Oryctolagus cuniculus: one gene and its partners. The protein of the gene in region 1 purifies or fractionates together with the protein of each later gene. This does not show direct contact. Links are inferred from orthologs where the notes say so. Each region holds a gene or a part of one and is shown in the gene's direction. Other genes may lie near its edges.

Region 1 (4,320 bases):
GCTGGGCCAGGCTGAAGCCAGGAGCCAGGAACTTCACCTCCCCGTCTCCCATATGGGTGCAGGGGCCCAAGCACTTGAGCCGTCTTCTGCTGCTTTCTCCAGGCTATTAGCAGGGAGCTGGATTGGAAGTGGAGCAGCAGGGACACAGATGATGCCCATCTGGGATGCAGGCACCGCGGGCTGCGGCTTAATCCCTCATGCCACAACACCTGCCCCTGTTTTGTTTTTTGTTTTTGTTTTTCTTTTTAACCACTAAAAGTGGCGATGGTTGATGCCGGGGGAGCAGGTATCATTTTTGATGGTAGTAAAAAGAAAGTGGAAAAGAACTAGAGAACTCTGGGCCGTCCCTCTGAAGAGCACATGAGGGTGATCCCAGGATCTGCCGCCCCACCCCACGGAAGCTCCTTAAGGAATCCCTCATCCTTTGTCTCCCAAACAGAACCAAGCAGGGTACACCAAGGGCACAGAGCACAGCCCTGTATTGGGGCAGGGTAAAACTGATAATTGGCGACAATGTCACCCCTGAGCTGAGTGAGAGCGAGTACCTGGCATGCGATGAGATGACTGGGGAAGTTACAAAACAGCAGGCTTTTAGATGTACTTGGTAGCCTCAGAGGTGGGCCAGGCACTCCTAGCATAACAGCTAAACGTAGGTACCCATGGAGATGGCGACCAGGTTTCCACGGAGGAAGGTGAGGATACTGTGGCGGGGGGGGGGGCGGGGGGGGCGGGTAGGGATGGTGAGGAACACGCTGCGCTGACGGACTTCAAGAAGGAGGTGCAATTTAGGGGCCGTGTTTCTGGCTAAACCAAGGGCTCTGGAGAGCGATCCAGGGTCCTGCCTGGGGAGCAGCGAGGGCAGGGAATGACAGGGCAGAGTATTAGGTGCGATTCTCCCTCTCGAATGACTCAGGGAGTCTGGGAAAGAGCAAACCCAAAGGGCCAAAAAGGTGAAGGCGCATACGGATTAAGTTCGGTTCAGGGGCACTTTTCAAGGTGGACGTCCACGTGCCAAGATGCTCCGACTTGGCGCTTGGGGAGCCTGGCTCCGCATGCGGCGTTCAGGGTGCACCAGCTCTCCGGGACTCCCGGAACCGTTAAGCAGCGGCTCCCTGAGCCTCCTCGCTTCCCTGGCTCAGGCCTCTGGGGGCTCCCCGCCACCTCCCCGCTCCCAGCGCCTCCCTTCCTCTCCGCTCTCTGGAGAGCAGAGGGGATGCCCAGCGGAGTGCTCACGCTCCCAGCAGCCAACGCTCACCCCGCGGCCTCTTCCGCGTGGCCTGGAGCTGCCTCCCCGAGCTCTCCTGCGCACCGGGGCAGCCGGGCCGCGGGAAGCAGGAGCCGCAGCCGGAGCCCGAGCCGGAGCGCGCAGCCTAACGGTCCGGCGGCCGCGCCCCGCGCCCCGCCTGGCGGCGCCGCAGCTGCTGCCCGCCCGCCCCCTGCGTCATGACGCCGGCGCCCAACGCGGAAGCCGCTCGCGGCGCGCCTGGTCCAGCCGCGGGCTGAGCGCGGAGCCGCGGCGGGCGCGGGAGCCGGGCCGGGGCGCGAGCCGGGCACAGCCTCCCGCCGCAGCTGGGCCGAGCGGGCGGAGCGAGCCGAGTGGGGCCGAGTGCGCCGGCGGCGGCGGCGGCGGCAGGCGGAAGCGGGCACGGCGCGCCGGGGCCGCCGCCGAGGGGATGCGGCTGCCTCCCCGGGCGGGTGTGTAGAGGGCGGGTCCCCGGCCTCGGGAGCGCGGCGGTGGAGGGGACGGAGGCGGCGGCCATGGCGACCCCCGGAAACCTGGGGTCTTCTGTGCTGGCGAGCAAGACCAAGACCAAGAAGAAGCACTTCGTAGCGCAGAAAGTGAAGCTGTTCCGGGCCAGCGACCCGCTGCTCAGCGTCCTGATGTGGGGGGTAAACCACTCGGTAAGGGCTCGGCTGCGGCGCGCGGTCCTCTTCCTCCTCGTTCCCCTCCTCCTCCGGCCGCGGCTGCTGCGGGGCGGGCAGCCGGAACCTGCTGGGTCTCACCCTCCACTTCGGCGCCCCCGGCCCCGGGGCGCGCGCTCTCCCCTCCCGACCACTTGCGCCCCCTTTGGACCTTCGGACCCGGAGCGGCACGAGGGGTCCGGTCTGCGTTTGAGCCCTGCGGCCGGTGCTGGTGCTGCCCGCGGTCCGCTCGCCCGCCCGCAGGGAGGTCCCCGCAGCTTGGGAAGTGGGAAGTTTGTGCGGGGCACGGCTCCGCCTCGCCTGTCAGCGGCTGCTGGGGGCCGAGTCCAGGCCACCGCTCCGGTACCCCCCGCCGCCAGGCAGGTGTACCTGTTCCAGGTTGGGGGCGTCCGGAACCTCCTGCGGGCGGTCGGGAGAGCACGATTTGGGGCAACAGCTTAAGAGCTTAGGTCTCCCCCCCTCCTCTTTAAAGGAAGTATTATTAGACACGAGGAGGCCTTTTGGCAAATTAGAAGCCAGTGCAAGTGTTGCACTGGTGTTCAGCATCTTGGGCCGCTCGTCTCCCGCATCGCGGGCGGAGGAGCCATTGGCGGGGAGTGCGCTCCGCTCACCTCCTCCTGCAGCCGGCCCTAAGCCGCCGCCTGCGGAGGGCGGTCCGGGCGGGGCCCGCTGGAGGGGTCCCGGCGGGCGCGGACGGGGGGTCTTGAGCTGACAGCCTCTGCGCAGGGGCTGTGTTTAAAAGGCTGCAGGAGAACGCCTGGGGAAGCTTTGCGTACGGCCACGGGCGGTGGAAGATGCGCCCCCGCGGGCTATGCGGTTTGCGGTGCGAGGGTCCGAAACAGCCTCCTGCAGATCTTACCGCGAGGAACTCCTGCAGTTTTAATCAACTCAGATGGGGATCAGGAAATGTGATAGGAGCTGTTGGCAGAGCTGCGGAAGTAGAAATAAGACAGCGAATTTTGACCGTGACCTTGCCCACTGCAGTCAGTGGGCATCCGAGGAAAGAGGCAAACTTGCTTTTCGTGCTTTTGATGTCCACGGGTGTCATTGTGTCCTTTTCACCGTGACGGAGAAGGCAGAAAACCACGTTGGTGTTTGAGAGAGCACTCTCGGTTTCACGAAGTTGTTTAAGATGTCTCAGAAGCATCATTGTCCGATTTCTATTCCCCGATGGTGTTGGGGGAAAAGGTGAAACAGTAGCAGGGCTGATTGCGTGGAGTGGCTGTTTTTAACAAAGTTGAGAAATAATTGTTTCTACCAGCTTAATGTGTGATCCGCTTAAGTTCATTTTAACTGAAATACACTTTAAAAAAAAAAAAAAAAAAACAAAACTATCAGAGTTGTAAGATGTTGCAACAGCATACATGCATGGCTGCACCAAAAACTCCCCCAAATTTTATGGGGAAAATGAAACGAATGGTTTCCTATGTAATAAATCTGTAATTTAGAGCTATGTCTAATTTTGTTAAACACTTTTTAAAAAAAATTATGTTGTTAGTTTCTGGGATAGAAACCTGTAATTTACAGAATAGGATGTATGTCTCCTTGTGCTTACTCATATTTATGGGTGTTTTTATCTCTCAGAGTTCTGGTGTTTTGGCCAGGAGATTGTTTGTTTCAAGGTTTAATCTAGTAAAGTAGTGTCAACAGTGTGCTGCCGAAAAAGTGTGCTCCCCAGGAATCAGTCTGAATTCCAGTTTACTTTAGAAAATCTTGCAACTGTGCATGTGTTACTGGGACTGCTTATGTGTTACTGGATTTTATGGTTTGCTACATTTGTTTTATAGTTTCTTGCATTGGAAATATTTCAAAACTACTTAAGGCTTATAATGTATCATCTGTAGGTAGTAAGTTTGGTGTTACTTTTGTCTTCATGAGAAGTGAGTATACATAGCCAGCGGAGTGAGGTTTCCAGGTTTCCATAGGATACAAGCCTATTATTTATATTGGGCACAGGCAGTGCCAGCCACAGTGGGAAAGATTGCTAAAACCCCTCTCATATGTATGTCCAAATATCAGAGATATCTGCCTTCGTATTAAAAGCATCTTTTCCATGAGTTTCTTTTTCAAAATGTCTATTTGTTTTAAATATACTGGTTTTTTGGGGAAGAATACCAGAGTGTATGTAAGGATGAAATTTAAACTCTTAGATACCATGTACTTCTTGTTGATTTAATTTTAGGAGATAATATCTGATAGTAGATACATGTTTTATATGACTTGTGCCCCAAAGTTTACAGTTTAATGTGAGAATAAGGATGTCAGCAATATTAAGAATGAGCAAAAATAGTGCTGGATGTGAATGGGACCCTTGAGAAAGTATAGCTGAAAAGGAATAGATAATTTAAATGTCTTTTCCTACATCTCTAATGTGATCAGAATTAAGATTTGTCATGA
Region 2 (3,644 bases), on another chromosome or scaffold:
CTTTCGGTAGGAGCTGTGTGTAGCTCAGTGATTAGGACACCTGCTCCCTCATCCAAGTGCTTAGATTCGATGCCCTTGCTCTGGCTCCTGATTGCAGCTGGCTGCCAGTGCAGACCCTGGGGGACAGCAGTAGTGACTTCAAGTCCTTGAGTTGCTGCCATCCACGTGGAAGACCTGGGATGTGTTTCTGGCTCCCACTTCTGCGCCCTTCATTGTGGGCCACTTGGGGAATGAGCCAATAGATTGGCGGCTCTCTGTCTCTCACTGCCTCTCAAATTAAAAATCCTGTCAATAGTTATTATTTGGTGGTACCATAAGCAGAAATATAGAACAGATCTTAGGCCGGTAACCCTCTCTTCTGAAAAGGATAGATTTGGCCGGCGCCGCGGCTCACTAGGCTAATCCTCCGCCTAGCGGCGCCGGCACACCGGGTTCTAGTCCCGGTCGGGGCGCCGGATTCTGTCCCGGTTGCCCCTCTTCCAGGCCAGCCCTCTGCTGTGGCCAGGGAGTGCAGTGGAGGATGGCCCAGGTGCTTGGGCCCTGCACCCCATGGGAGACCAGGAAAAGCACCTGGCTCCTGGCTCCTGCCATCGGATCAGCGCGGTGTGCTGGCCGCAGCGCGGCGGCCGCGGCGGCCATTGGAGGGTGAACCAACGGCAAAGGAAGACCTTTCTCTCTGTCTCTCTCTCTCACTGTCCACTCTGCCTGTCAAAAAAAAAATAAATAAATAAAAAATAAAAATGAAAAGGATAGATTTGGTTTCTGTAATTGAATCTTAGTGCTTTCTAAGGTACTAGTACTTGTGAATCTTAGTACTTTCTAAGGGAAGGAAGTCTTGAGGGCAGGCGGGCTTTTGAGGAAGACCACACAGAAGTAGTACCCCTCTTTGCTTAGAGCTCTGGAGTGAAGCACAGCCTAGAGGCACATGGGAAGTGCCACAAAAGAGCATTAGGTTTTTTCAGAAGAACTTGGGGTGGTCGTTTGCCTTTGGCAGTACTGCTTCCAGCACGGGTGCATCACTAGCTAGTCTGAATTGTGCAGCAGAGGAGAGCGTTGTGAGGGCCTGGCAGGTTCATCATGTGGGAGTGCAACATTCCAGTTGAAGCGAATCAGTGTCTGGTGAGGTATTTGAGCTTAGATACAGGGAATACTGGATTGGATTTATGTTAAAGGCTCAGTTGGGGGTAGGTTGGGAAGGAGAGTATGGAGGAGAGCAGCTACAAGTAAGTTCCCGCTTTTCATGTCCCTGTAGGTAAAATGTAGTCTTACAGATTTTACATAGTTAGCCCATTTATTTCTCGGAATTCTAGGAAGTGGTGGTCCCCAGTTTGCAGAGAAAGCACGAAGACTTGGGGAATGAATGTATGTTATTTCTTCTAGACTCTCAAATCCAGTATGTGGCAGTCCTTGAATTTGAGCCCTAGCCCCTCTGAATCCAAAGTTTACTCACTCTTAAGAGTACTTGTTGCATCTTAAACTATGGAATTATTATATATTTTATGTTTGATAACTGTCAATTTTGGCTACCTTTTAAATGGTGTATCTTGGGGGATGGGATGTCATCAGTTTTCTTCCAGGTGTTGTAAAGCCTGTGTAATTTCCTTCACTGTTCACCTTAGCATTGAGAGTAAACACGAGGTTACGATCCTGGGAGGACTCAATGAGTTTGTAGTGAAGTTTTATGGACCACAAGGAAGTAAGTACACGTATTGGTATGTGTTCCTCTGCTACAGTTGTCTCTAAACATTGACTTTTTACAGTCGACTTTTAAACATCTTTATGTGATACTATTAGACATGAATTGTGGATTCTGGTTTGGTTTATGGGTGGTTTCTGGGAAATGTTTTTTGTTTTCATTTGGAGGGAGGCATGAAGGTTTGTTTTTGTTTTTTTGTTTCTTTGTTTTTTTGTTTTTAAGATAGAAGAGAAAAGGACAATAATGTTTAATACTAAACAAGTAAATTTGGGAGAGAGAATGAACCTTGGCTTATCTTCTAACTCCATGTCTTTTAAGCAAAAATATCTTAATCTGAATGTAGGGTACTTTTGGGTTGTAATAGGTCCCTGGCTCTTGAAGGAGCCAATTTGAAAGGTTATCTGAGGAGGCGAGGGTTAATGTTTAACTTACACTGAGGTTTATTTTCTGATTTGGACTCAGTTCTGGTGTTTAACATGTTGGCTTTTATTTCAGCACCGTATGAAGGCGGAGTGTGGAAAGTTAGAGTGGATCTTCCTGATAAATACCCTTTCAAGTCTCCATCTATAGGTACGTGGCTGGTTTTATCTATGAGAAGAAACCCAGCATCTCGTGGGTAATTAACTCCAGAAACAGTGACTTAGCTATGTTCTGTGACTTTGGGGGGGCACTTCCTTGGTGTCATGGAAGACATTCACATTTTCCTTTTCACATAATCACAGTGACAATCTCTAGATTTCTCTCTTTTAGTGTCAAATTAAACCAACGTTAAGGCCCACGGCCCTTTCTGGTTGTGAGCAGTAAAATAATGAACAGTCTTAAATCTGGGTTTGTTGGCACGAATCTATGTAGAATCTATTTTAGTTTTGTCATTTAAAAATCCTCTGTAGATCTTAATTTGTGTTTGTTCTGGGTACAGCTCTGGGTATGTAGCAACGAAATGGTCCTTTTCCTTCGTCTCCATCCGGAATCTTTATATAAAGCCTCTAAACCGCAGAGCCTCAGTGGGGCTGTACGAAGTGGTACTTCTTCCACGCCTTCATCTTCCTTCTGCCTTACCTGGTGATCTTGTTACCTGTTGTCCCTGTTAAGGTACTCGGTGAGAATGGGGGGATTTTAATGTCCCGTGCTACAAAGGTAACATCCAGTTGAAAATTGATACTTTCAAATGTATTAATTATAGAATGGTGATGATTTAATTAATCCAACCTTTTCACTTCAGTCTATACATAGCTTTAAAATATTACAAACTTGTGACCGACTTTAAGTGAGAATAGTAAAATAATATTGGCGTACACTGTGTGTTCAGACGGTCTGAGCAAGCCTCATTTTCAGGGTTGCCAAAGTTAAAAAAACATCTTGCCACTGCCTTAGGCTGCCTTCAGAGCTGGAGTTAGGCCACCCCTTATACCCCCTACTCCCAGCAAAGGGTTATTGTTTGTTTCATTTTAAAGGAAACATTCTGAGCTCTAGGCCTTGATCCCACGCCCCCACATTGCTGTGTGGAGTCAGTGTGCAGAAAAGTTGGGATAGTCACCAAGTTCCAACTAAAAGCAGCAACATCTTCCCCAACATCTAGCTACTTTCTGTGCTGTAGAGTTTTATGCTATAAAAACCCTACAATGCATCTGTAATGGCTGGGGAGCTCTTAGTGCTCATTTGGAAGAATAAACTGGTAATTTCCTTGAGGTTTTCTAAACCTGGTACTTGAGAAAATATTTTGTGGATAATTGAATCAGAAATTTCATCATTGCCACAGGGGCCCCGAGTTTAGAGTTAGGGATGGTGAAACAGACTGGGGGTGTGGAGCCTTTTGCAGAGAGCCCTGAATAAGTCTGCCTCAAACACCTGCATGGTGGGGCAGCCGCCCTTTTCCTAGCTCCTCCCCTGGCAACAGAGTCTAAGTTTCATGCATTTGGAGGGCTGTTGGCAGATTTTATGGTTCCCC
Region 3 (3,644 bases), on another chromosome or scaffold:
TTTAGTTCCCCTCCCGTCTTGCCTGTCTGTAAGTAAAGTTACGTCTGGTTTGAGCTGTGCCTTTGGCAACCATAGAGGGCATGTTAGAAAATGAATGTGGAAGAGGATACAGAACTTTGGGAACATGAAGGGGGTCCAACCCGCTCATTGTCCAACTGACGGTCATTGTTAACAGATTTAAAGGCTTGCCCAGGGTCCCAGATTGCTATTCACCTCAGCAAAGAGATTTAAGGACTGAGCTTGAGGTATCTAGAATGTTAACACACACACACACACACACACACACACACCTTACCTGTGTCCCTGATAACCTGATATAGACCAGATGCACATTAGTGATAGATAGGCTTAGCTCCAAAATCAACAAATGTGTGGGCGTCGGTGTGCAAGAAACCACTCCAAATATCATTGTCGTCATAAAGTATAAGGTATCTTGGAGCGACAGATCAAAGAGGTGTGAGTGGTAAGCAGGCTAGTTATAGCTAAGAAAGAAGGAAAGTTACTTCTGAAAGAACAAGTTAGAAGAGGGAGAAAGATGGAAGGAGTAAAAAAGACTTCGAGGAAGTCTTCAAGATCATGATGGCCGTGTCATGGAAACCTGTTAGAGCGATTAAAAACAGCTGAGTGCTGCAGGTCAGCCGTCCCGGCAGGGAGGATGACCTTGGTGGTCGTGTTGGGTTAGCTGGGCAGGAGTCTGGGAGAGGCTGCAGGAACAGCGGTGACGAAAATACTCAATCCAGGGAGGAAGGAGATTCGAGAGGTGAGGGATAGATGTTGTTCATCTGCTTGCAGGTCTCTCTGAAGGGTATTTTTAGCTTTCATGAGAAGCTGTTTTTTTAAAGTTGATCATTTCGACACACTTCCTGAGAGCTGGCAGTCGAACCAGAGCAGCTTGCCTTTGTGTCGTGGCTTCCCTTCTCTACATTCCTTGAGTGCACACCTGCTGTAAACTCTTGATGTAAGACTGTCTAGTCACATTCACGTTTACTAGCAGCTCTCAGTATGGGGTCCTCTGACCAGCAGTACCAGCAGAACCTGGGAGCTTGTTAGAAATGCTGACTCAGTGGAAAGCTTGGTGGGGCCTAACAGTCTGTTTTAACAGACCTTCCGTGTGATTCTGAAAGGTGCTTAAGTTTGAGGCCAGGGATCTGTAGAAATAGCATTCCTTTTCTGCCCTGTGGTATTTTTCCAATTTTGCCAGCTCTGGTTCCATCCAGCTTGGGACCGAGTTACCTCTGTTGTCTGGGATCGCTACAAGGGGCAGATTTGTGGCACCACAGGTAGTGACAGCAAAGTAGCATTAGGGTGAGAAAAGGAACTGCAACACCGAAAGACCCACCAGCTTCATTCATACCTTCTAAAGTCCCTAGAGTAGAGCTGAGAATGACGTCAAAGGTAGCTCCAATTAAGGCTGATCGCCGAAGCTTAAGGACACTCCCTTGGGGACTGCACTCTGGGGAGCTAGGGCCATTGAGGTTTTTCTAGCCTCTTCTTTCTTTCCTGGCTCCAGCTGCATCCTACACAGACAGCTCTGATGATGAGGTTTCCCCCCGGGAGAAACAGCAAACAAACTCCAAGGGCAGCAGCAACTTCTGCGTGAAGAACATCAAGCAGGCAGAATTCGGGCGCCGAGAGATCGAGATTGCGGAGCAAGGTAAAGAGCGGGCATGGGTGGCGGACCAGGAGCAGCCCCCTTGCTGGGCCTCAGGGTTTACAAACAACTCAGGGCTGGAATGCCAGCCCAAAAGGACCCTGGGAAGAGACAGAAGGCGGGGCTTTGAGACGAACGCTCTCTCCATGGAGCTTGAGTTCTGGGCTCTTGTTCTGTTCTCCCTTCCTCCTGTTCTCAGCGCGTGATAGTTACCACAGAGCAGTTTGTTTCTCCCCGCCGTGGCAGCATGTTCAGAGATCTACACTGCGGAGTCAGCAAGTCCTGGATGGCTGTGTGGTGTCACTGATGGGGATCTGACTACATCTGCCAGTCACAGAGACCTGGATCTCCCAGAAGCAGCAGCTGATGTGGGAGGGTGCTAAGCTAAGGATGTGGTGGCCTGGGGTCTTGTTTGGTCCTGAGCACCCTCTGCTGGAGCAGAGTGAAAGTCACTGGTGCTCAGATCTGGCTTTCTCTGTCCTACTCCACTCCCCTGAGATCCCTGTACTCTGATTGTTTTCCCACTGAAGGCCTGTTTTATACTGAGAAGGAGGAGAGAAACCAAACAGATGGACAGGGTAGGGTAAACCACGGAAAAACAGAAGCCACGTTGCTTCCAGTGAGGGCAAAGTTTTTTTTTGGGCCTGATGATTGTGTGTAGGAGTCCATTGGCCAGTGCCACAACTATTTCCCACTCCTCCTGAATGAATGATGAGACTCACTTTCCATTTTGGTCAGGTTTGAGAATTTGCTTCATTCTCTGTTCAGTCCTCTGCATATAAAGCTGAAGCAGTAGAGGAAGAGAGAAATCGCAAATGACACATGACAACTGTCCACGGCACTGCTGGTGAGGCTGCCAGTCGTCATGGAAACACACCTAGCGGTCTTCCGCCTCATCTCACCCTATCTCAGCAGATCCAGAGCAGCCCTAGGTGTTGCCGGGGCAGGAGCTGATGATGCTGCTAAGTGCGGACCTAGCTCAAATCCTCTGTTCTTTCACAGACATGTCTGCTCTGATTTCACTCAGGAAACGTGCTCAGGGGGAGAAGCCCTTGGCTGGTGCTAAAATAGTGGGCTGTACGCACATCACAGCCCAGACAGCGGTGAGTTTGTTAGAAGAGATGGCATTCCTGCTAATGAGGGGAAGAAAGCGGCAAATGGGTTTTATAGACTTGCTTTTCCTTCCCCATCTAGCCAACCTCTAAATGCTATTAGATGGGACTGCCCTGTTATGCAATAATGGCGTTTTCTAACTTTGTGTGGGTAAAGCAACTGTTAGAAAACCTGACTTAGGAAGATCTAGATTGGCAAAAATAGGATGGTTATAAAAATTTTGTTAAGTCATTAACAGAGACTTCCAGAAACATATATCTTGGGTAGAGTTAAATACCAGTGTGCCGCCTGGCTGGGGTTAGAGCCTTTTGTGACTCTCTTGCTGTAGAGTTGATGGATACTGCTTTCTTACTGGGGTTTGCTGCCCACTGCTGCATGGCCCGCCTCTTCCTCACCCTGTCTTCCTGCACATCCACACAGGTGTTGATCGAGACGCTGTGTGCCCTGGGGGCCCAGTGCCGCTGGTCTGCCTGCAACATCTACTCAACGCAGAATGAAGTGGCTGCAGCACTGGCTGAGGCTGGTAAGTTCAGCTTTTCTCACCAACTTTGCCCTAAAGTAATGATCTAAACATTTATGTATTGAAATTGTCGTTGCATGGCCATTTGTGTCCAATGGTTATAGAATTGAGGGGTAATAAAAATGAACAGGAAAACAATAGATGATAAAATTAAAGTCTGTAGTCATGATGGGGTATTAAGTAGGCATTTAAAATGATCTTTGAAAAGAGTCTAATGACATGAGGAAATGCTCAGTTCTTTTTTCTTTTATCTTTTTAAAGATGTATTTATTTATTTGAAAATCAGAATTACAGAGAGGGAGAGACAGAAAGAGAGAGAGATCTTCTCTCTGCCGGTTCACTTCCCATATGGCCACAACT

Evidence for each region.
Region 2: the proteins of PIP4K2A (region 1) and UBE2H purify together in Homo sapiens (affinity purification with mass spectrometry; 3 studies listed by BioGRID and IntAct, with this or other methods). This does not show direct contact. The link is inferred for Oryctolagus cuniculus from reciprocal best matches to the Homo sapiens genes PIP4K2A and UBE2H.
Region 3: the proteins of PIP4K2A (region 1) and AHCYL1 purify together in Homo sapiens (co-immunoprecipitation; 3 studies listed by BioGRID and IntAct, counting the BioPlex papers as one, with this or other methods). This does not show direct contact. The link is inferred for Oryctolagus cuniculus from reciprocal best matches to the Homo sapiens genes PIP4K2A and AHCYL1.

Annotation. Positions count from the first base shown.
Region 1 is NC_091444.1:48,947,168-48,951,487, reverse strand, and holds the start of PIP4K2A (phosphatidylinositol 5-phosphate 4-kinase type-2 alpha), read left to right. Parts: upstream 1-1,475; 5' UTR 1,476-1,758; coding exon 1,759-1,902; intron 1,903-4,320. UniProt on the Homo sapiens protein: Catalyzes the phosphorylation of phosphatidylinositol 5-phosphate (PtdIns5P) on the fourth hydroxyl of the myo-inositol ring, to form phosphatidylinositol 4,5-bisphosphate (PtdIns(4,5)P2). Has both ATP- and GTP-dependent kinase activities.
Region 2 is NC_091434.1:166,050,359-166,054,002, reverse strand, and holds part of UBE2H (ubiquitin-conjugating enzyme E2 H), read left to right. Parts: intron 1-1,619; coding exon 1,620-1,696; intron 1,697-2,191; coding exon 2,192-2,266; intron 2,267-3,644. UniProt on the Homo sapiens protein: Accepts ubiquitin from the E1 complex and catalyzes its covalent attachment to other proteins. E2 ubiquitin conjugating enzyme that transfers ubiquitin to MAEA, a core component of the CTLH E3 ubiquitin-protein ligase complex.
Region 3 is NC_091438.1:60,311,039-60,314,682, reverse strand, and holds part of AHCYL1 (S-adenosylhomocysteine hydrolase-like protein 1), read left to right. Parts: intron 1-1,510; coding exon 1,511-1,654; intron 1,655-2,653; coding exon 2,654-2,754; intron 2,755-3,184; coding exon 3,185-3,287; intron 3,288-3,644. UniProt on the Homo sapiens protein: Multifaceted cellular regulator which coordinates several essential cellular functions including regulation of epithelial HCO3(-) and fluid secretion, mRNA processing and DNA replication.